Linked DNA regions of Arabidopsis thaliana. The protein of the gene in region 1 interacts with the protein of each later gene in a biochemical or structural test. Each region holds a gene or a part of one and is shown in the gene's direction. Other genes may lie near its edges. The genes, in order: RCD1, DREB2A, SOS1 and NAC13.

Region 1 (6,516 bases):
ATGATGATACATGGGATTCAAAGTGTCGACGGCGGAGATGAATGAGGAGGAGCAGATTGGACACCGTTAAAGACGAGATCTTGGTGGTATGTGCCTTGCAAAGTCTGATGTCGGGCACACGTCGATCTCTTTTGGTGGTGAATTCAATCTGGTTGGTGAAATAGGAAATTGAATTTGTTCCCAAAAATAAACGGATCCCGAATATCCGCGGATATCCAGTTTTTTCACGGATATTCGAAATCCGGATATCCGAGGTTTACGGATCCGGATGCGGATCCTAAAACTACATATCCGCCGGATACGGATACGGATCCGGATACTCCAAAAAACCCGGATATCCGGATCCGTAACAGGCCTAATCGTAGGTTGGTAAATTCTAGAAAAATAAGAGATATAAAAACTATATAGTTGTGACATATTCATTATTCAATATGAGCCATGGCTACACAAACTATATAGTTGTGACATTTTCATTATTCAATATGAGCCATGGCTACACAAACTATATAGCTGTGACATATCATACACAGAATAATATTCCCATGAATGCATGTATATATAGATCCTTTGGTTTTCCACCGAATAGTACAAACGTGTATATGATAAAAGTTTAGTCTTGAATTTTATAGATCTTACAAGATTGGGAAGACAGCCGTTTTCGGTACCAACTAAACCCGTAGTCACGGCCGGTCCATCTTAATATGCTGTCTAAAGCCCAAAAAATAAAAACTGGCCCATTATAAAACAAAGTTGAAAAAAATTGCGAGGTACAATTTATCAACTAAGTATTCTTCATCCGTCTAGACATCAAAAGAGTTCTAACTCTCTCCAAGAGATATCGATCTAGTGTTCTTTCTTAAGCCAATCGAAATGTTATTTATCCATCCTCAAATTAGCCAATTCCAAATATTGTTTTCAAATTATAGCCTTTTCCAAAGATTGTGTTTTCAATGAATAATTGTAGAAATTTAATTTTGATAGTTTTTTTATAAGAAAACTACGCAAAAAGTCCAGACTTAATATCCAAGGTGATATCTTTTCCAAGTCAATAGTTCATTGACTATTATGCGTATCTTCTATGTTTTAAAATAAAATAAATTTTGCTAGTTTAGAAATGTGATAATTATTGGAAGTATATCAATGGAATTTTTTATATCTCATTTAGTATGTCTAATTTTGAAAGTTATCTGTATTGAAAATGATTAAATATTCTTACCCTTATAAACCATATATCACTTCAAAATTTATGCTATTGTAGTATTGTTTATAGAAAAACGGAAAAATAAAAATCATTACAAATAAACGCGGCAATGAAACAGAAAAAATAAAAACCATTAAAAATAATCGCGGCAAATTTAAATAACGGCTATCGAAATAATGAAAATTATTTTTTGTTAACAAACATTTTTCTGGAGAAAGTTTTTAAAAATTGATTAAATATTCTTATAACTTTGTAAAATAATATTTTCAAAAACTTCTAAACTATCCTCAACTAATAAAATTTTATTTGCCACTTGCAATACAACTAAAACTTTGTTAGACCTTGTACGCAATAAAGAAAATATTTTTCAATGTCGATAGCTATCTCCATTCCAATGGCCCCCCTAGTCTATTCATCGATTCACAATCTTATCAATCATGTTCCGTCAATACACACTTTTCTAATTTCAACAATTTTATAATTGTTGCCCTCGTTACATTTAATTGTAATATTTTTGTTCTCCTCATGATAATATTATTCCATTATTGTATTCGACCATATCTATCTGCGTGTATTGACCGCCTCTTCAATTAAGTCACCACCCAATAAGATTTCGACGTTGACTGACCGACTTGTAGCTTTAATAAAGCCCACATGATTTGCTTTTCGTCCAAGCAAATTTTTGGTTAGAGAAAGAGGAAAAAAACTCAGGAACCGCCGACTTAAGAATTTCTTCTTCATCATCTCTCCAATATCGCCGATTATATATAAATGACTCTTCGATTCTGTTTCTTCTTCGTCGTCATCGCCGGCTTAGGGTTTTCTCTATAAGCAAATCTTATCTTCTCCTTTTCCTCCGTTTTTTCTGGTCAGCTTTTGCTTTTAGATTACCCTTGTTGCCTGCGATCGATCTGAAAAAAGAGGTCCGTCATGTTCATGTTCATGTTCAGTTTCTTTTCGTTTTGTTTCAATTCTTCTCATGCGATTTGAGGATTTTTTTTTTTATCTTGAATTGTTTTTTTTTGTTGAAGTCGATGATTGTAGATCGGCTTAGATTCGTTTGATTTTGAGTGGTTTTGTGTTGTTTTGATTGAGTTTTTGGATGATTCGTGTGATTATGCTTACGATCTGTGTTTTTTCGTCTCTGATTTTAGTTTATTTTGAAAATCAGTGAAACTGCGATTGATTTGGTTCGATTTGTGGATTTTGTGAAGCAACAGAGCTATTTTGACTTGAGAGATGAATTTTAATTTTTATTGAAAGCTAAAAAGTTGCTGGTTTGGATGTTGCAGGAACTTTATCTTGCTGACGGCTGTTATAAAAAGACGTGGCATTTCTTCTCTGATTGTGTTTATTTTTATGACGGAGAAGATGAACACACTTGTAATCTATCAGACTCTAACTGTTACTGTTGGGTGAGTTTCAAGCTCATGGCTTGGGTTTATTGTTCTCATTTTTCTGTGTTGGTGATTGGGTTTACTTGTTTTTGTTGGTTTGTTTCTGTGTTTATCTTTAGTGTCTCATAGGATCGTTCTTGTTGAGTGTGATGTTCATTTCTTATTGCTTCATTCCTATGTAGGTTGATTTGTACCTTCCGTCTTTGTAATGGATCTTTGTGCTCTTTATAACACAAGATACAACAAGAAGTAATGAAAGACTGTTCATAATGTTACTTACTGATGGAAATTGTAGCAAATGTCTTTTGTGAAGGAATGATATTACAGGATCATAGGTCTCATATAGTTATGCTGATTCTTTCTTGTTTACTGATTCTTTATCATGTAAACTGTGAGGAGTTTTTGTTTGACTCTATTCTCTGTAATATAGTTGTTCAATATTTTAAGCCTTTTCCATTTCTTTTGTGCAGTGTTTTCTAATGCTGTCGGCAAGACACTATCTTTAGGACTGCTAGGGAGTTTAGAGGTTACACAGTTGACTTTTTCTATCAAGGTTATAGGTTTAGTATTGTTAATATATAGAAATGGAAGCCAAGATCGTCAAGGTGTTGGATAGTAGTAGGTGTGAAGATGGATTCGGAAAAAAGAGGAAGCGCGCAGCAAGCTATGCTGCATATGTTACTGGAGTTTCGTGTGCAAAGCTGCAAAATGTGCCCCCACCGAACGGGCAGTGCCAAATTCCTGACAAAAGAAGAAGGCTGGAAGGTGAAAACAAGCTTAGCGCTTACGAGAATCGCTCTGGGAAGGCGCTGGTCAGATATTACACTTATTTTAAGAAGACTGGAATCGCTAAACGTGTTATGATGTATGAGAATGGCGAATGGAATGATTTGCCTGAGCACGTTATATGCGCCATCCAGAATGAATTAGAAGAAAAGAGCGCCGCAATTGAGTTCAAGTTATGCGGTCACAGTTTTATTTTGGACTTCTTGCACATGCAAAGACTAGACATGGAAACAGGAGCAAAAACCCCTCTTGCATGGATTGACAATGCAGGAAAGTGCTTTTTCCCTGAAATTTATGAGAGTGATGAAAGGACCAATTACTGCCATCATAAATGTGTGGAAGACCCAAAACAGAATGCTCCTCATGATATCAAACTTCGCCTAGAGATTGATGTTAATGGTGGCGAGACACCGAGGTTAAATTTGGAGGAGTGCAGTGATGAGTCTGGTGATAATATGATGGACGATGTTCCCCTTGCTCAACGATCTTCAAATGAGCACTATGACGAGGCTACGGAGGATAGCTGCAGCCGCAAGCTCGAAGCTGCTGTTTCGAAATGGGATGAGACTGATGCTATAGTCGTCTCTGGTGCCAAGCTTACGGGAAGCGAAGTACTTGATAAAGATGCAGTAAAAAAAATGTTTGCTGTAGGCACAGCTTCTCTAGGACATGTACCAGTGCTGGATGTGGGCCGTTTTTCCAGTGAGATTGCTGAAGCTCGTCTAGCACTTTTCCAGAAGCAGGTTGAGATCACTAAGAAACATCGAGGGGATGCAAACGTTAGGTATGCCTGGCTTCCTGCAAAGAGGGAAGTTTTATCAGCAGTGATGATGCAAGGACTTGGAGTTGGTGGAGCATTTATCAGAAAGTCCATCTATGGTGTTGGGATCCATTTAACCGCTGCAGACTGCCCTTATTTCAGGTATTTGCCTCGTATTCATCTGTTTTTTTCATGTTTAGATCGTATATTTTACCTTCCTCTGCAATAGGTTCTTTGTGTGTCAAGTACTAACTATGAACTTGTTTACAGTGCTAGATACTGTGATGTTGACGAAAACGGAGTACGTTACATGGTTTTATGCCGTGTGATTATGGGGAATATGGAGCTTCTTCGTGGTGATAAAGCTCAGTTCTTTTCTGGTGGAGAAGAATATGACAATGGAGTCGATGACATTGAGAGTCCAAAGAATTACATTGTCTGGAACATCAATATGAACACACATATATTCCCGGAATTTGTTGTTAGGTTCAAGCTGTCTAATCTCCCCAATGCTGAAGGTGATTAGTTTGTTCTTTTTTTTGTTCCTCACATTCTATCTTCCCCCATTCAAATCAACTGATGACGCATTGAAAGGGAGACAGCTTAGAGATCTGGCTGAAGCTCAGGTCTCAACTGATAAATTTAGAAAAAAAAGTTCCATGTGTGATAATGATAAACCTAACGACCTCCGGTGTTATAACACATTTGGGTTTCAAGAGACAAGTCTCTGATTCATCATCCGGGGGTCGGATGTGATACTCACGCCTTAATGGGTATTTCGATCCATCAAAATTATGTTTTGTGTAGTATTAGAAGTCCGATGACATACACTGGTTTCTGCAGGTAATTTGATTGCTAAGCGTGATAACTCAGGGGTCACTTTGGAAGGACCTAAGGATCTTCCTCCTCAATTGGAGTCAAACGTGAGTTTGGTTACTTCAGTTTTTCTTTGTATGATCTTATTAAAGAAGAGGGACTGAACAACTATATGTGGTGTTGTTGTGTTTAAAAAGCAGGGAGCAAGAGGTTCAGGAAGTGCAAACAGTGTTGGTTCAAGCACTACAAGACCCAAATCTCCATGGATGCCATTTCCTACTCTGTTTGCAGCAATCTCACATAAGGTTGCAGAGAACGACATGTTGTTGATCAATGCTGACTACCAACAACTGAGGGTATAGAAAAAAACTGATTCTGAGAGTTTGCTTTATGATTGGTAATTGCATAAGCTGGAATACATAAGAAATTTGTTGTGCAGGATAAGAAGATGACGAGAGCGGAGTTTGTCAGGAAACTGCGGGTGATTGTAGGAGATGATCTGCTAAGGTCCACCATAACAACCCTTCAAAACCAGGTAAGATAGTAGTAGTAGAGATATTGTTGTTGATCATAAGTTTACTTTGTAAACGGAAATGCTCAACAAAGGTTTTTTGGTTTTAACTTCAGCCAAAGTCGAAGGAGATTCCAGGAAGCATCAGAGACCATGAAGAAGGTGCAGGTGGATTGTAAGTAAAGTGGATGATGATGATGACGAATATCAAAAGGAAGCTGCTTTTTATCTATCTACCTGCCTTTGTGGTTCTCCTTTTGACTTTTTCTAATTTTAGACTTTTGGTTTTGGGTCGGGTCGTTGGTAGAGTTTAAAATGTGTCGACTTTTCTTTCTGTCGTGAAAAATCGTACTATATTATATGATTCTACTTAGTCAATGATGTCGTTGGGTCTTTGTTTCTTTAGCTGCAAGCAAAACATTGTTGTGGAAGTCGTTGAATCTTGACGAAAATTTGGTCGTTAAGCCTATCGCGTGAAACTTTTCTTCACTATACTTTTTCTCATTATTCTGTTAGCTTTATTAGATGCCTCACATTTGTGTGAAGGATTATTTAAGAGTATGATAACTGGTCACCTCTGGGTTCCTTTGACACTTGTGTACTACGGGTAAATCAAGACTAGAGGAATACCAGGAGAAAATAGTGTTGGTCCTCTCCTCCCCTTTAGAGCTCTATATGATGCGCACTGAGTAAGCTTGGCCTCTGACGATGAGAAGCTAGTGGATATCTCGATATTCTAGGTCCAATCAGTTCGATTTTATGGAGTCTCTGTGGAGTAGAGTAAACGGTCAGTTTGGGATCTCTTTCTCTATAACAGCGATTTGGAATCTGATCCGAGTGGTTCACCCAAAAGTACAATGGTTCTGGCTGTTTTCTTTTCATGGTTATAATCTGAAGCATTATTTTATTCCTTTTTGTTTGTGTTGTGAGTCGGCATTTTAGCTTTAAACGAATTTAAAACCGAGGAATTGATGATGAGCCTAACTCTTGCATATTACAGAGGATTGGAGCCATGTATCTTTCACTTGGACTTCGTACTACAACT
Region 2 (4,089 bases), on another chromosome or scaffold:
TTTTTTCATAAGGTCAACGACCCTTGGGATGTTAACAGAGCCAAGTTTAGTGAGCACTATGTGCTCGTTTTTTCTTAACACAATTCTAACGTGGTTTGGCCAAGCCAAGTCAACATTTTACTTACATCTCGTTTTCCAATAATGGTTTTGTAATCGATAACCTAAATCATTGTAATGAATGCGTTCCTCCCTATCGATCCTAGGCCTTAGACAATGCTGAATGATTCATAGCCACGCGAATAACCTATTCATACTAATATGGAAAGAAAGAAGCCAAACTTACAGAGCTCTTCTCACGGTCGTCGAAGAAAAGAGAGTCTACAGTCAGCAACAAAATTAGTGTTGCCATCATGGCATCATCTTGCAGCTTTTTCCGCACAAATAATTTATCATCCAAATGTTGTTCACTAAACCAAAAACAAACAAGCATTACAGCGAAGAAACCAACTCGTAGATACAGATTTCCAAATTCATGCCTTATTTAGACCAATAAAAACTGAAATTTCTCTTCAGCGAAAAAAAAAACAAACAAACTGAAATTTCATATAGATCCAGAAGATAGAAACTTGTAGGCTCAATCGACTAGACTAGAAGATGCTCACCCGATCGTGCTTGAGATAGCGAGATAGTAGCAACACCGACGGTAGAAATAAAATGGACGACACCCATCCAATGGGCTAATTTAGATTAACGGGCTTTAAGGGTTTGATAATGGATGTTAATTAACTGAGGCACATGGGATTGTATCACGTAGGCAATGGGTTTGATAATGGATGTTAAGTAACTAAGGCCCATGAGGTTGAAGTACGTAGGCAATTGCGTGAGCTTACGTTAGCGATGCCGTTAGAGACACGTAGTGGATGAAGTGGCTTTGGTTAGCAAAGGACACATGAGGCACATGCAAAGGCTATAAATGACTGCTGCTTTGCTACAACTTGCGATTCCCAAATTTTATAAGGTAATGGACCCTATCACCTCTGCTCGAAGCTAAGCCACCCAAGTTTGAGCTTCACCATTTGACACGTCTCTAGCTAATACTTAATGCTTAAACTTTAAACTAATACTTCATGTTTAAGACATTTCTGGCTGACACATTTATGAATTCGCTCTATGTCGTACGTACACCGGAAACCTTTAATTTTACAATATTAACCGTGATCTTTTTAAAAATATCTATATAAACGATAAGTATCTCATCAAAACAAAATTGAATAATGTGCACGTTTGTAAAAACTAGAAAAACAGGCAATAAACATCATCATCCAATTACACATCTAGTAAGTGTGATGCAGTGGCAAACTGGCAATAAACCAAGAAAAATCGAGAAAGAGCAGATGAGACAGTGTTGTGTTGTCAGGGTTAATAAAAAAAAAATGAAGATATTTTAAAATTTCATAATATTTAAATAATGAAGTAGTTTTATGATCTTATCCATAAATCAATTTTAAAAAGGTTTAAACTTTACTTTTCCGTATCAACAGCGTGTTTCGAGAAGATTCGGGAGGACACTCGTCGAACGGAAAAGTCGTCTAAGCCTTTATGTTCGAATCAAAAACTGACACGTAACCTTGCTCTCAAACAGAAAAATAAAATAATGTTAGAAAAATCTAGAGAAGGCTATAAATACTCCGTAGATACTTTGTCTTCCTTAGATATTTTGATTTCTGCTAAAGCTGTCTGATAAAAAGAAGAGGAAAACTCGAAAAAGCTACACACAAGAAGAAGAAGAAAAGATACGAGCAAGAAGACTAAACACGAAAGCGATTTATCAACTCGAAGGAAGAGACTTTGATTTTCAAATTTCGTCCCCTATAGGTACGTTGATTTCTGATTTCTTACAAATTTTCAATTAATTTCTCTGATTAGGTCTCGTCAATTGGTGATTCTAGGGTTTATCTTCGTCTTTAGGTTTTCGATTATTTCCTTTTAGGTATAGCTGTGAAATTGGGAAATTTTAGGTGTTCCTAATTTGATAACAAATAAGTAAATCGATCTGATTTTGAACCAAGTTTAAGTTCTCTTGCCTTATGTTTCAGCTTGTGTTCTGATATTGAAGTGTTGTTGTATTGTAGATTGTGTTGTTTCTGGGAAGGAGATGGCAGTTTATGATCAGAGTGGAGATAGAAACAGAACACAAATTGATACATCGAGGAAAAGGAAATCTAGAAGTAGAGGTGACGGTACTACTGTGGCTGAGAGATTAAAGAGATGGAAAGAGTATAACGAGACCGTAGAAGAAGTTTCTACCAAGAAGAGGAAAGTACCTGCGAAAGGGTCGAAGAAGGGTTGTATGAAAGGTAAAGGAGGACCAGAGAATAGCCGATGTAGTTTCAGAGGAGTTAGGCAAAGGATTTGGGGTAAATGGGTTGCTGAGATCAGAGAGCCTAATCGAGGTAGCAGGCTTTGGCTTGGTACTTTCCCTACTGCTCAAGAAGCTGCTTCTGCTTATGATGAGGCTGCTAAAGCTATGTATGGTCCTTTGGCTCGTCTTAATTTCCCTCGGTCTGATGCGTCTGAGGTTACGAGTACCTCAAGTCAGTCTGAGGTGTGTACTGTTGAGACTCCTGGTTGTGTTCATGTGAAAACAGAGGATCCAGATTGTGAATCTAAACCCTTCTCCGGTGGAGTGGAGCCGATGTATTGTCTGGAGAATGGTGCGGAAGAGATGAAGAGAGGTGTTAAAGCGGATAAGCATTGGCTGAGCGAGTTTGAACATAACTATTGGAGTGATATTCTGAAAGAGAAAGAGAAACAGAAGGAGCAAGGGATTGTAGAAACCTGTCAGCAACAACAGCAGGATTCGCTATCTGTTGCAGACTATGGTTGGCCCAATGATGTGGATCAGAGTCACTTGGATTCTTCAGACATGTTTGATGTCGATGAGCTTCTACGTGACCTAAATGGCGACGATGTGTTTGCAGGCTTAAATCAGGACCGGTACCCGGGGAACAGTGTTGCCAACGGTTCATACAGGCCCGAGAGTCAACAAAGTGGTTTTGATCCGCTACAAAGCCTCAACTACGGAATACCTCCGTTTCAGCTCGAGGGAAAGGATGGTAATGGATTCTTCGACGACTTGAGTTACTTGGATCTGGAGAACTAAACAAAACAATATGAAGCTTTTTGGATTTGATATTTGCCTTAATCCCACAACGACTGTTGATTCTCTATCCGAGTTTTAGTGATATAGAGAACTACAGAACACGTTTTTTCTTGTTATAAAGGTGAACTGTATATATCGAAACAGTGATATGACAATAGAGAAGACAACTATAGTTTGTTAGTCTGCTTCTCTTAAGTTGTTCTTTAGATATGTTTTATGTTTTGTAACAACAGGAATGAATAATACACACTTGTGAAGCTTTATGGGCCTTAGTGTGTCTCACAATATTTGAAATCGTAAGAGGAAAAACTATACGATCTCCACAAAAAAACTCATCATTGGATTGAGTCTTAGGAAGTTCTCTAGGGATTAGAGGGCAGCTTTATTTAACATTAAGCAGCTCGACATCAAAGACCAGCCAAGAGTCAGGGGGAATGCTACCAGCACCTTCCGCACCATACCTGTGAGCCAGACAATTTTATCATCTCTCATTAAAAAAAGCTTAAAATAAAACATCACATTATGGAAAAATAAAAAAAGATTTGCAAAGGCTTTACCCCATTTCTGGAGGAATTGTAAGCTTTCTTTTGCCACCAACAAGCATTCCTTTAGAAATTTACAAAAAGAGATCAAAACAACACACCATTTGACCATATTTAGTGAAGAAAAACCAGTAAGAAACTAGCTAGGTTACCATTAAGGCCAACATCCAATCCCTTAATGACTTTTCCAGCATCTGTATGTGTAACAGCAAGCACATAAGTATCCAAGTACCACTCACACATTAATAAAGCTCTTACTTTCGCATCAAGTTATAATACCAACCTAGACGAAACTTATAACGTGATTTTCCAACGGTGGAATCGAAAATCTTCCCATTCCCCTGAAGCTTTCCAGTATAATGGACACTTACCTGCACTCAGAGACAATAGACTGACCTCCAACAAATATTTGCACACAAACTACAACAGTTTAGGACTAAATGC
Region 3 (7,793 bases), on another chromosome or scaffold:
TACAATTGTCGTTTTTTTTTTAATAAGTAGCAATTTTCTATTGGTAGAGTGATTCTCTCGTTCTTGTGCTTTCTACTATTTATAGGAGTTTTATTGCATTCCATGTGACTATAACAATCAGTAATGTTCTTTTTACTCTTTAACAAAATCATGATGATGAAGATACAAATAAAAAGGTGGTCAAAAGAAAAAAGATCAATAGTGCCTCGTTTTTTTTTTTCACAATAGTATCTCGTTTATGAAATTGATTAAAGCAAAGCAAGTAAAAAGTATTATCAATTGGAATATAAACCAAATTTTTTGTACATAAAATGAATGATGTAGTAATTTATATACCTGATTATCTTAACTAAACTCAATTTTTTGCAACCAAACCAGATAAATAAGAACACTATAAAATTAAGATGTTAATTACACAGACAATAATTTTATTTATTTATAAAGTTTATTTTTGTAACAGCTCTGATACTTATTGATTTTGCACCTTCTTTGATGGTGGTGGCGAATCATACACTCATCAGCGACCATGATATGTAATCCATCAACGAGTTCTCTCTGAATCTTCTCGCCTGGAACCAGTTTTCCAGAGCATAAACATAAGCCTTAGAACAAAACAAACATCTACTATCCCCTGAACTACTAATGATAGAGTAATCAATGTAAACTCTTTTCCTATTGTAGAATTTACCATTAGACAAATTATTATGCATGTTGTTAGCATCTCTACTCTTGAAAAATCTTCGTAAGCTGATTGGAAAATCAAAGAATAACAAACTAACTAACTAACAATCACTACTCTATAAGCAAATCTTGAATACCAATAGAGATTCTTTATGTTGGATTCTATCTTTGAGCATTTCATTAGGATCGACGGTTGGTCGATTAATCAATACTAACCCAAACAGTCTTTTAACATGCACACTTGATACCTTGTAGGTGCTTCTGGGTAGCATGAAAATGATAATTGGTGTTATTCTGATATGCGAAATTGAAAATGTTGTTGTGCATCAGCTAAGCATAATTGAAAGTTTAAAAAATATTATAAATTTAACGTGAAGAATTGAAAGGTATCAGATTAATGTTTTGGATCAGCCGAATAGAGTCAGGCTAATCCAAATTCTCAAATATTTTCGAAACCTTAAACACATCAAACTCCACGAAGTAAACACACTCACACACATATCAAAATCCACATTATAAATGTATTTTTGGTAGGCTAGTCGTCTAATTCTAAAATAGCCAATTTACATTTGCAATTGTTTATTCAAAAAAGTACAACAGTAAGAGGTCTTATCAATTAAATCATAAGAAAAATATGTCCCAAAATGTCAAAAAACCAACTACGAATATTTCTTTTCCTTTTAAGGCCAAACCAGGTTTTGGAATACTTATTACAAATAAACTCAATTTCAATAAATTCTTGTACACAAATTAAGCACTAATTTCATTGTGAAGATACCATAGTCACATTCACATCTATATGACATCAATCTATAAAATCCAAAACAAACTATATATTATATTTATATTATTTTTTTGTCATCATTATATTTCCATTAATTTATCTAATTCTGGTTCTAATATACTCTTGGTCAGAAAAAATATAAACATTGAAGAATTGGTCGGCTGAAAATTGTGAAAAATATATAGCAGAAAAATATGATAATGTTATCATAAACAAAATTAATAGTAAAATTTAATTTTAATTTAACACTACAGTACTATACACGTGTGTATGTATAGCTCTATAAGTATTTACTCTCTTTCAGCTATTTATTTTTTCAGTGAACGAGCATTCTTCTTCTTCCTCTGTGTTGTTGCTTCTTAGATATATTCAAATAAAATGACGACTGTAATCGACGCGACGATGGCGTATAGATTTCTGGAGGAAGCGACCGATTCGTCTTCTTCTTCTTCTTCTTCCAAACTAGAATCTAGCCCTGTCGACGCCGTTCTCTTCGTCGGAATGTCTCTGGTACTCGGTATTGCTTCTAGGCACTTGCTTCGTGGAACTAGGGTTCCTTACACTGTCGCTCTTCTCGTTATCGGAATTGCTCTTGGATCTCTCGGTTCGATTTCGTTCCATGGAATTTCTGATTTCTTCATCTGTTTTAATCCTTGAAGTCAACGTAATCATGCTTAATTGCTAATTCATGTTGTTTGGTGTTTCAGAATATGGAGCTAAACATAACCTTGGAAAGATCGGCCATGGAATTCGTATCTGTAAGTTTTTAGTTTCGAATTTTTCTTCTCTTCCATGGCTGGCTTTGTAAGAACTATAGAATCAATGTTATTGTGCAGGGAATGAGATCGATCCAGAACTTCTTTTAGCTGTTTTTCTTCCGGCTCTTCTTTTCGAGAGTTCGTTTTCAATGGAAGTTCACCAAATTAAGGTTTATTCCTCTGGCTCTAATTCCTAGTTAAGCTTAAAGGTTAAGAGAAATAGGTACTGAATACTTGCATGATTCTTTAGAGGTGTCTGGGACAAATGGTGTTACTTGCTGTCCCTGGAGTTCTTATTTCAACAGCTTGTCTTGGATCGCTTGTGAAGGTATGAATTAGCCTGGTTGGTATTAAGTAGCTGTCCTGAAAACAAAGAAAGACAAATCGATTATTATGTTATGAAACTATACTTGCTATATGCAGGTCACGTTTCCGTATGAATGGGACTGGAAAACGTCCTTGTTGCTTGGGGGACTTTTAAGTGCTACTGATCCGGTTGCTGTTGTTGCTTTGCTAAAGGAGCTTGGTGCTAGTAAGAAGCTAAGCACCATAATTGAAGGGGAATCCCTGATGAATGATGGGTAAATGACGTTATCTTCTGTCATGGTTTGGTTAGTTTTGACATTTATGCTCACTCTTCATGATTTTTAACAACAATTCCAGGACGGCGATTGTTGTTTTCCAGTTATTCTTAAAGATGGCTATGGGGCAAAACTCTGACTGGAGTTCTATAATCAAATTTCTGCTTAAAGTCGCACTTGGAGCGTATGTCTTGATCTTTTTTCATCTGTTGTTAGTGATATCAAGTTGCTGCTGTGTTCTTATCAGTCCAACGTGTTCTTCTGTCTATTTAGTGTAGGCATTGGTCTGGCGTTTGGCATTGCATCAGTTATTTGGCTCAAGTTCATATTCAATGACACTGTAATAGAGATTACTCTTACAATTGCAGTGAGCTATTTCGCATACTACACTGTACGTCTTTCTGTAGACCTTGAATTCCTGTGCTAAGATATTCTCTTTGTAGTAAAACTGAGAGTTTATTGTGTGACAGGCTCAAGAGTGGGCTGGGGCTTCTGGTGTTTTGACGGTCATGACTTTGGGCATGTAAATTTCAGTGATCTCGTTATTTTTTTTTTCCCTTTCTTTTGTTATCATTTAAGAAGTCTCTTCTCATAAAATAACTGTAACAGGTTTTATGCTGCATTTGCAAGGACAGCCTTTAAAGGTGACAGTCAAAAAAGCTTGCATCACTTCTGGTATTTCCAGAACTTGTGGAATTTGGACTTGTTTTTTTATATTGTAACTCTATGTAAAAGGTTGATCTGTGTGATATAAATTTTCCCGGTAACTTGTGCAGGGAAATGGTTGCATATATTGCAAACACTTTGATATTTATCCTCAGGTAAGGGTAAATTTTATAGACTCATATCATGCTTGTGCTTGCCAACCCTAAAATAGAAGCTCATGGGTAGAAAAAAGAGCTATTTTACTGCAGTCTACTCTTTAGCCTGGTGTTGCAATATTGACTGTGTTTCTCGTTTTATGTTTGCAGTGGTGTTGTCATTGCTGAAGGCATTCTCGACAGTGATAAGATTGCCTACCAAGGTGCCATTATTTAATGTTGATAGTGTACAGTATTTTTTTCCTAGCTAAAGTAAATTTTGTGAACATAGTTTTGTCTGCATTTTCGACAGTTCACTGTTAATTGAAGATGAGATCTAAGTCATTACATAGGACTCCCACCTGTTATCATAGTTTTCTGTCGTTGTTAACACACCTTACTGTTCATGGTCTTTGGTTCTCGAAGGATCACTAATTCCATAACGTGAATCAGTTACAAGAATAAGAAAAAAACTGGCATTATTGGTTACGAAATATTGAGCGAAAGTTACCACTGTGCTAGGACTGAGACAATTGTATTCTTTCACCAGTCTGTTATTATTATTAAGTACCTGTTAGAGATGTACTGTCTTGGAACCATATATTTTTTCTCTGGAACCATATCTGCATAAGGCACATGATATACTTAACTTTAACTATTTTTTATATTTTGGATCTAACAACTCTTCACGACCCAAATTTCTTACAGGGAATTCATGGCGATTTCTTTTTCTGCTATACGTTTACATCCAACTATCGCGTGTTGTTGTTGTTGGAGTTCTATATCCACTTTTATGTCGTTTTGGCTATGGTTTGGATTGGAAAGAATCCATTATACTCGTATGGTCTGGTTTGAGGGGCGCAGTGGCTCTTGCACTTTCTTTATCCGTGAAGGTTAATTTTAAGAACATCTGTTAAAGTTGTTCTTCTCTCTTAAATTTCTGCACAATGTTTTTTTCCAGCCACATTGATTCTGTGCTGACTTACTCGCACTCATTTGATTCAGCAATCAAGCGGAAATTCACATATCAGCAAGGAGACTGGAACATTGGTAAGTTAGTCTAAAGATGTTATTGACAACTTAAAATGATTATGCAAATTATTGTTTTGTCTCTTCATATTCTCAGTTCTTTTGCAGTTTCTTTTCTTCACGGGTGGAATTGTGTTCCTAACTCTGATAGTTAATGGATCCACTACCCAATTTGTTCTACGCCTTCTTCGCATGGATATTTTACCAGCCCCCAAGGTCAAAAACTTCTCTCATACGAATAACTTTCCGAGTTTTAAGTAATCAAATATATGTGTAAACAGAGATTTTTTTGCTTATGCTTTGTATTCATGTGTAAGTGACCGTGTTAGCCTGAGTCTGAGCCTTTAAGCTGTATAGTTCAATAGGGTCTGTATGTTCTAGTCAGTAATGTATTCGAAGAACCTTATTAGAAACCACTTTCCTTTTGACAGAAACGAATATTGGAATATACAAAGTACGAAATGTTGAATAAGGCCTTACGAGCGTTTCAAGATCTAGGAGACGATGAGGAGCTAGGACCTGCTGACTGGCCTACAGTTGAAAGTTATATTTCAAGCCTAAAAGGTTCAGAAGGGGAACTAGTTCATCATCCTCACAATGGCTCTAAAATTGGAAGTCTTGACCCTAAAAGTTTAAAGGACATACGTATGCGGTTCTTAAATGGTAGTTATGATCATGTACCCTCCAATATACTATTTTACCTGGTAGATTATTGACACTTTGAAAATTGGTTGTGTCAGGTGTGCAAGCAACTTACTGGGAGATGCTTGATGAGGGCAGAATATCTGAAGTTACTGCTAATATTTTGATGCAGTCAGTGGATGAGGCGCTTGATCAGGTTTCTACAACTTTATGTGATTGGAGAGGTCTAAAACCACATGTCAATTTCCCAAATTACTACAACTTTCTTCATTCTAAAGTTGTCCCACGCAAGTTGGTCACATACTTTGCTGTCGAAAGACTAGAATCTGCTTGCTACATTTCTGCTGCGTTTCTTCGCGCACATACAATTGCACGACAGCAATTGTATGATTTTCTAGGTATGTACAATCCATACTCTGCAGTCTGCATCACACTTTGAAAACAATGACTAAGAATAAAACTTGTACCGTATCATCATTAATTGTCAGAGTTTTTGTTTGCAAGTATCTCAACTTAGTAAGAACAATACATTAACCCAACCCTAGTTTTGTCTCATACTTATCTATCTTCTCTACACAGGGGAGAGTAATATTGGTTCCATTGTAATCAATGAAAGTGAAAAGGAAGGAGAGGAAGCAAAAAAGTTCTTGGAAAAAGTCCGATCTTCATTTCCTCAGGTTGAGAGTCTTGTCATTTCTTTCGGGTGACTTATCTTTCTTGCGGTGAGGCACATATAATCTTTGATTAACATTGGTTTCAGGTTCTCCGTGTTGTGAAAACAAAACAAGTAACATATTCAGTGTTGAATCATTTACTCGGTTACATTGAAAACCTCGAGAAGGTTGGCTTGTTGGAGGAAAAAGAAATCGCTCATCTTCATGATGCTGTCCAGGTACCAAATTAAAGAATCTCATTCCTTCAACTATAGTCTTGTCTCTTTTGTCTTATGCTTTTGGTCAAATCTATCTCTGCAGACCGGCTTGAAAAAGCTTTTGAGAAACCCTCCAATAGTTAAACTTCCAAAATTGAGCGACATGATCACCTCACATCCGTTATCGGTTGCTCTTCCTCCTGCATTTTGTGAACCTTTAAAACACTCGAAAAAAGAACCAATGAAACTGCGTGGTGTCACGCTTTATAAAGAAGGTTCAAAGCCAACTGGAGTCTGGCTTATTTTTGATGGCATCGTTAAGGTAACCCAAAACTTATCTTTTACTTTTAACTCGTAAGTCTGTATGATCTATTACCTTCATAACTGAATGTTATAACAATCCTACAGTGGAAAAGTAAGATCTTAAGCAACAATCACTCGCTGCATCCAACTTTTTCTCACGGTAGTACATTGGGACTCTACGAAGTCCTCACTGGGAAGCCATATCTGTGCGACTTGATTACAGATTCTATGGTTCTTTGCTTTTTCATTGATAGCGAGAAAATTCTATCACTACAATCAGATTCTACCATCGATGATTTCCTTTGGCAGGTACGTCTCTATTAGAATCCATTTTAGAGAGACTCATTTCTTGATTGTTAAGTTGCTTCAACTTTTTTCGGTTTTTTTTGTTTGCAGGAAAGTGCATTGGTTCTTCTCAAACTCTTGCGTCCTCAGATATTTGAAAGTGTGGCAATGCAAGAATTACGAGCCCTTGTTTCAACTGAAAGCTCGAAACTTACAACATATGTGACGGGAGAATCAATCGAAATCGACTGCAACAGCATTGGTTTATTATTAGAAGGATTCGTAAAACCGGTTGGTATCAAAGAAGAGCTTATATCATCTCCCGCCGCATTATCACCTTCTAACGGGAATCAAAGCTTCCATAATTCATCAGAAGCTTCAGGTAATTAATTGCACAGTACAGCAGGATCAAACCTTTTTAAATGTCAGCGAATGATATAAATCGAATTAAATCAAAAATGTGTTTTGTTTTTTTGACCACAGGTATCATGAGAGTCAGTTTCTCACAACAAGCAACACAGTATATTGTTGAGACGAGAGCAAGAGCAATCATCTTCAACATTGGAGCATTTGGAGCTGATAGGACTCTACATCGAAGACCATCTTCGTTAACACCACCACGTAGCTCAAGCTCTGATCAGCTTCAGAGATCATTTCGTAAAGAACACAGAGGTCTCATGAGCTGGCCTGAAAATATTTACGCCAAACAACAACAAGAGATCAATAAAACGACATTAAGTTTATCTGAACGAGCAATGCAACTCAGCATTTTCGGCAGCATGGTAAAAAAGATCTCAATGTTGATTCTTTTAAAGGTTGTTATCGATGAACTTCTCGACTAACCTGAAGGTTTTTATCTTCTGATATTCTCGAATATAGGTTAATGTGTACAGAAGGAGTGTAAGTTTCGGTGGGATCTATAATAACAAGTTACAAGATAACTTGTTGTACAAAAAACTTCCACTAAACCCAGCTCAAGGTCTCGTTTCAGCCAAATCAGAAAGTTCAATTGTGACCAAGAAGCAGCTTGAAACCCGTAAACATGCGTGTCAGCTTCCT
Region 4 (4,312 bases), 300 kb from region 1:
GCATTTTAAGTGCTATTTTAAAATTGAGTAATCTTTTATTTTCTCACCTTAATTTAATTTAAATTTTCAAATAAAAGTACAAGAGACCATCAGAGAATGAAGAAATTCTGGAAATTAAGACCAAAAGAAAATAAAAAATAAAGTCCAAATAAAAGAAGCCAAAACCCCACCAAAATAGCAAAAAAAACTTTACAATTTCTTTCACCATGGTGTTATCTAAATAAGTATTGAACGAAGAACAAATTCATTTTTGTTCAACCATAACATTAATCAAAAAACACATAATTTACGTAAAATAGTTTGTATACAACAATAAAACCCGATTGTAATCAACGTGGTGTTAGCTAGTGGTAAATTTTTCAGATGAAAGTATTGTGTTCGACGTACGTTGAAAATGATTTATTTTCTAAAAAAGATGAATTTAACTTAATATGGATTTCACTTCTAAAAAATATAAAATCTTCATTATTGAACTTCTAGATATTAAGAAAAATAAAAATAGAACATGATTGTAATACTATAAGTTTTGACAAACAGCTAATCTTCTCCATTTGCAATCAATTTGATAATGACACCTAAAATTTTCCAATCTCAATCCTTGATACCAGTAGAGCATATCAATCGTAATGGCACAAAGTACAAACCATTTCAATTTGAAAGAGAATTGCGCAAGAACATTAAAACACCTCTTAATATAGAACAAGGTAAACTCAATCTTTTTCACATCTGATGATGATGCTGCTTCATCTTTCTCTCCATCTCTAAAAAAATAAAATAAAAACATAACTATGTACTCTTTAAAAATATATATTATAATATATAATTGAAGAAAAGATACAACATAAATGGTAGATAGTCAAATCTTTCAAATATAATATAACACTAAACTCAAATAACACATCCAATGGGTTATTTTCTGTATATACAAGAGCTCAACAAAATTCTCAAATACTTCGGTTGTGTTCTAGTCATTTGGAGAAATCATGGACATCTAAAAAAAAACCCACAGTTTTTGTAGGCCGATGAATTTATTATTACTAAATAAAATATCACGCTTATTATAATCAAGTTTCTAATCTTACGTGTCGTTTAGAGTTAGGCATAATATTCGAATCCGAGTATCTGATCCGAATCTAAATTCAAAATTTCAAAATACATGAACAAATTCTATATTTCAAAATCCAAAAATCGAATTCGAACTGATATCGGAACATATCTACAATTTAAATACATAGTAATAATATATTATTAATATTTATATTTTTAATAATCAAGTGTCAAAACATGCGGATTTTTGAATGTTTAAAATATTTTAAATAGTTAATTATTTTTGAATAAATTTGGTTAAAAAAATGTTTTGGGTTTTTTATATATATATTCTTTATATTTTTGAGTAGTTTAAATATATTTAGTTATGAAATATTTGATTTTTGGAAATTTTGATGAATCCGAATTAGAAATTAAAACATTTAATCCGAACCCAAAATCTAAAATATATCCAAACAGATTTTCTATCTCAAATCCAAAATTCCGAAAATTTGGAATACCGATTTGAATCTAAATGGGTATCCGACCCGAAAAAACGACGTCTCTCGAAGCCAAACCTTCTACTTCTCCAGAAGGAAAAAGAAAATAACAATTAAATGAAATGAAAAGTAAAATAATTCCGCAAACAAAGATGCTACGTGTCGTCTCTGTAAGCCAAACCTTCTTCTCCAAGGAAAAAACACCAATTAAATTAAATGAAAAATAAAATATTTCCGCAGAATAAGACTCTTCTTCCATTTGGTACAGAAAAATCGAAACTTTTTAGGGTTTTTTTTTTTGTGATAACGAGAGAGAAAAAAGTGATGGACTTGTCGGTTGAGAACGGAGGTTTAGCTCCAGGTTTTAGGTTTCATCCGACGGACGAAGAACTTGTCGTCTATTATCTCAAAAGAAAGATCCGTCGGAAAAAACTCAGAGTCGAAGCAATCGGCGAGACTGATGTCTATAAGTTTGATCCTGAGGAATTACCTGGTACCCTTCATTTCAAATCTTCTCCTTACTCTTTAATTCATTTGATTTGCTTTCGTTTACCTCAAAATTGGAATGTTTTGCTCTGTTTTCAAGTTTCGATTTTTATCTGTTTCATTCATAGATTGCTCAATTTGAACAAGCATGATTGTTACATATGTATGTATGGTTGATTGATTTACACTCTAAAGGTTTTTTTTTTTTTAGCTTCTGACTTTAAAAATGGACTCTTTTTTTTTGTGTAGAGAAAGCGTTGTATAAGACTAGAGATCGTCAATGGTTCTTTTTCAGCTTAAGGGATAGGAAACATGGAAGTAGGTCAAGTAGAGCTACTGAACGTGGCTATTGGAAAGCAACAGGGAAGGATAGAGTCATTCATTGTGATTCGAGACCCGTTGGAGAGAAGAAGACTCTTGTTTTCCATAGAGGCAGGGCACCTAATGGCGAACGGACTAATTGGGTGATGCATGAGTATACATTGCACAAAGAGGAGCTCAAGAGGTGTGGTGGTGAAGATGTTAAGGATGCTTATGTTCTTTACAAGATTTATAAGAAAAGTGGGTCTGGTCCTAAGAATGGTGAGCAATATGGAGCTCCTTTTATTGAAGAAGAATGGGCTGAAGATGATGATGATGATGTTGATGAGCCTGCTAATCAGCTCGTTGTTTCGGCTAGTGTTGATAATAGTTTATGGGGGAAAGGGCTTAACCAATCTGAATTGGATGATAATGATATTGAAGAGCTGATGAGTCAGGTTAGAGATCAGTCTGGTCCAACATTGCAGCAGAATGGGGTGTCTGGACTGAACTCTCATGTAGACACGTATAATCTGGAGAACCTGGAGGAAGATATGTATTTGGAAATCAATGATCTTATGGAACCTGAACCTGAACCAACTTCTGTGGAAGTCATGGAGAATAACTGGAACGAGGATGGTTCTGGTCTCCTGAATGATGATGATTTCGTTGGTGCTGATTCATATTTCCTTGATTTGGGAGTGACAAATCCTCAGTTAGATTTTGTTAGTGGTGATTTGAAAAATGGGTTTGCACAAAGTCTTCAGGTGAATACTTCTTTAATGACTTACCAGGCCAATAATAACCAGTTCCAGCAGCAATCAGGGAAGAACCAAGCTAGTAACTGGCCACTCCGTAACAGCTATACCAGACAGATAAACAATGGATCATCGTGGGTGCAGGAGCTAAACAATGACGGACTTACCGTTACCCGGTTTGGTGAGGCGCCTGGTACAGGTACTTGAAAGCACTAACAGATTTTCCTGTAGATACCTCTTTTCACTCGCATACTAAATATTCTATCTAATTGTGAGGAAAGCGACTGGCTTCTTATCCTAATCATATTCCCTTGACAGGTGATTCATCTGAATTCCTAAACCCTGTTCCTTCTGGTATAAGTACAACTAATGAAGATGACCCGTCAAAAGACGAGTCTAGTAAGTTTGCTTCTAGTGTATGGACTTTCCTGGAATCCATTCCTGCAAAGCCAGCATATGCATCAGAGAATCCATTTGTGAAGCTGAACCTTGTTAGAATGTCAACCAGTGGTGGTCGTTTCAGGTTTACTTCTAAAAGCACAGGTAATAATGTTGTTGTTATGGATAGTGACTCAGCAGTGAAGAGGAACAAGTCTGGAGGAAACAACGATAAGAAGAAGAAGAAGAACAAAGGTTTCTTTTGCTTATCGATCATTGGGGCTTTATGTGCTTTGTTTTGGGTGATCATAGGAACAATGGGAGGTTCAGGGAGGCCTTTGTTATGGTGAGAACCGAAAAATCCAAGAGGTTAAGAGACATAAAGGCTTGGTTTTGTGTGAACCATTAGAGAGTCAAGTCATTGTAATTATTCTCTTGGATTATTAGATTCAGAAGCTGTTTAGTATCACAGTTTATGCTTGGAAGTTTTCTCTGGTATTGTTAAAAAAGTACCAATAGAAATAAGCAAAAGAATTTTCTTATCTTTTAGGATATTTGAACAAATGATGTTACTTAACTAGATTATTAACTTGGAGGTTGTTGTATATCCTCATCATCCTCTTCAAGCCAGTAAGTCTGCAGAATCTTCAAAGCCTTGTCGTAGATCTCGATGTTTTCGTGTCTTTGCAGGTTCAAAATCTTATCTAGCCCTTCCGCTTCGATCAGTCGAGTATACCAGCTCACGTCGTCTCCTGCGTTCTTTTCAGCCTCTCCAACCTTCAATGTGTTTTCCATTCCATCCAGACACTTTAAGATGGTTTTTACATCTGGACAAAACAGGATATCACATAAAGGTTTGATGCA

Evidence for each region.
Region 2: the proteins of RCD1 (region 1) and DREB2A form a complex in vitro, tested with the Arabidopsis thaliana proteins (2 studies listed by BioGRID).
Region 3: the proteins of RCD1 (region 1) and SOS1 form a complex in vitro, tested with the Arabidopsis thaliana proteins (one study listed by BioGRID).
Region 4: the proteins of RCD1 (region 1) and NAC13 form a complex in vitro, tested with the Arabidopsis thaliana proteins (one study listed by BioGRID).

The regions. Positions count from the first base shown.
Region 1 is NC_003070.9:11,610,245-11,616,760, forward strand, and holds RCD1 (WWE protein-protein interaction domain protein family), read left to right. Parts: upstream 1-1,873; 5' UTR 1,874-2,124; intron 2,125-2,493; 5' UTR 2,494-2,616; exon of another isoform or gene 2,617-3,068; 5' UTR 3,069-3,182; coding exon 3,183-4,306; intron 4,307-4,414; coding exon 4,415-4,662; intron 4,663-4,987; coding exon 4,988-5,067; intron 5,068-5,157; coding exon 5,158-5,316; intron 5,317-5,399; coding exon 5,400-5,495; coding exon of another isoform or gene 5,496-5,504; exon of another isoform or gene 5,505-5,587; coding exon 5,588-5,650; 3' UTR 5,651-5,974; downstream 5,975-6,516. Other genes in the region: AT1G32225 (uncharacterized protein), read left to right, coding at 1-45. UniProt on the Arabidopsis thaliana protein: Inactive ADP-ribosyltransferase that functions with SRO1 to regulate oxidative stress, hormonal and developmental responses. Required for embryogenesis, vegetative and reproductive development, and abiotic stress responses.
Region 2 is NC_003076.8:1,600,555-1,604,643, forward strand, and holds DREB2A (DRE-binding protein 2A), read left to right. Parts: upstream 1-1,650; 5' UTR 1,651-1,815; intron 1,816-2,072; 5' UTR 2,073-2,095; coding exon 2,096-3,103; 3' UTR 3,104-3,485; downstream 3,486-4,089. Other genes in the region: AT5G05420 (FKBP-like peptidyl-prolyl cis-trans isomerase family protein), read right to left, coding at 3,486-3,564, 3,661-3,709, 3,798-3,839, 3,929-4,016. UniProt on the Arabidopsis thaliana protein: Transcriptional activator that binds specifically to the DNA sequence 5'-[AG]CCGAC-3'. Binding to the C-repeat/DRE element mediates high salinity- and dehydration-inducible transcription.
Region 3 is NC_003071.7:455,227-463,019, forward strand, and holds the start of SOS1 (sodium proton exchanger, putative (NHX7) (SOS1)), read left to right. Parts: upstream 1-1,775; 5' UTR 1,776-1,843; coding exon 1,844-2,069; intron 2,070-2,172; coding exon 2,173-2,223; intron 2,224-2,301; coding exon 2,302-2,393; intron 2,394-2,473; coding exon 2,474-2,551; intron 2,552-2,646; coding exon 2,647-2,804; intron 2,805-2,886; coding exon 2,887-2,988; intron 2,989-3,077; coding exon 3,078-3,195; intron 3,196-3,274; coding exon 3,275-3,327; intron 3,328-3,413; coding exon 3,414-3,479; intron 3,480-3,580; coding exon 3,581-3,625; intron 3,626-3,775; coding exon 3,776-3,828; intron 3,829-4,312; coding exon 4,313-4,497; intron 4,498-4,609; coding exon 4,610-4,654; intron 4,655-4,741; coding exon 4,742-4,849; intron 4,850-5,064; coding exon 5,065-5,296; intron 5,297-5,373; coding exon 5,374-5,673; intron 5,674-5,854; coding exon 5,855-5,952; intron 5,953-6,035; coding exon 6,036-6,167; intron 6,168-6,249; coding exon 6,250-6,468; intron 6,469-6,554; and 7 more. UniProt on the Arabidopsis thaliana protein: Acts in electroneutral exchange of protons for cations such as Na(+) or Li(+) across plasma membrane. Involved in Na(+) and K(+) homeostasis.
Region 4 is NC_003070.9:11,909,895-11,914,206, forward strand, and holds NAC13 (NAC domain protein 13), read left to right. Parts: upstream 1-1,736; 5' UTR 1,737-1,742; coding exon 1,743-2,019; intron 2,020-2,261; coding exon 2,262-3,269; intron 3,270-3,388; coding exon 3,389-3,798; downstream 3,799-4,312. Other genes in the region: AT1G32880 (ARM repeat superfamily protein), read right to left, coding at 4,034-4,312. UniProt on the Arabidopsis thaliana protein: Transcriptional activator activated by proteolytic cleavage through regulated intramembrane proteolysis (RIP). Involved in oxidative stress tolerance by mediating regulation of mitochondrial retrograde signaling during mitochondrial dysfunction.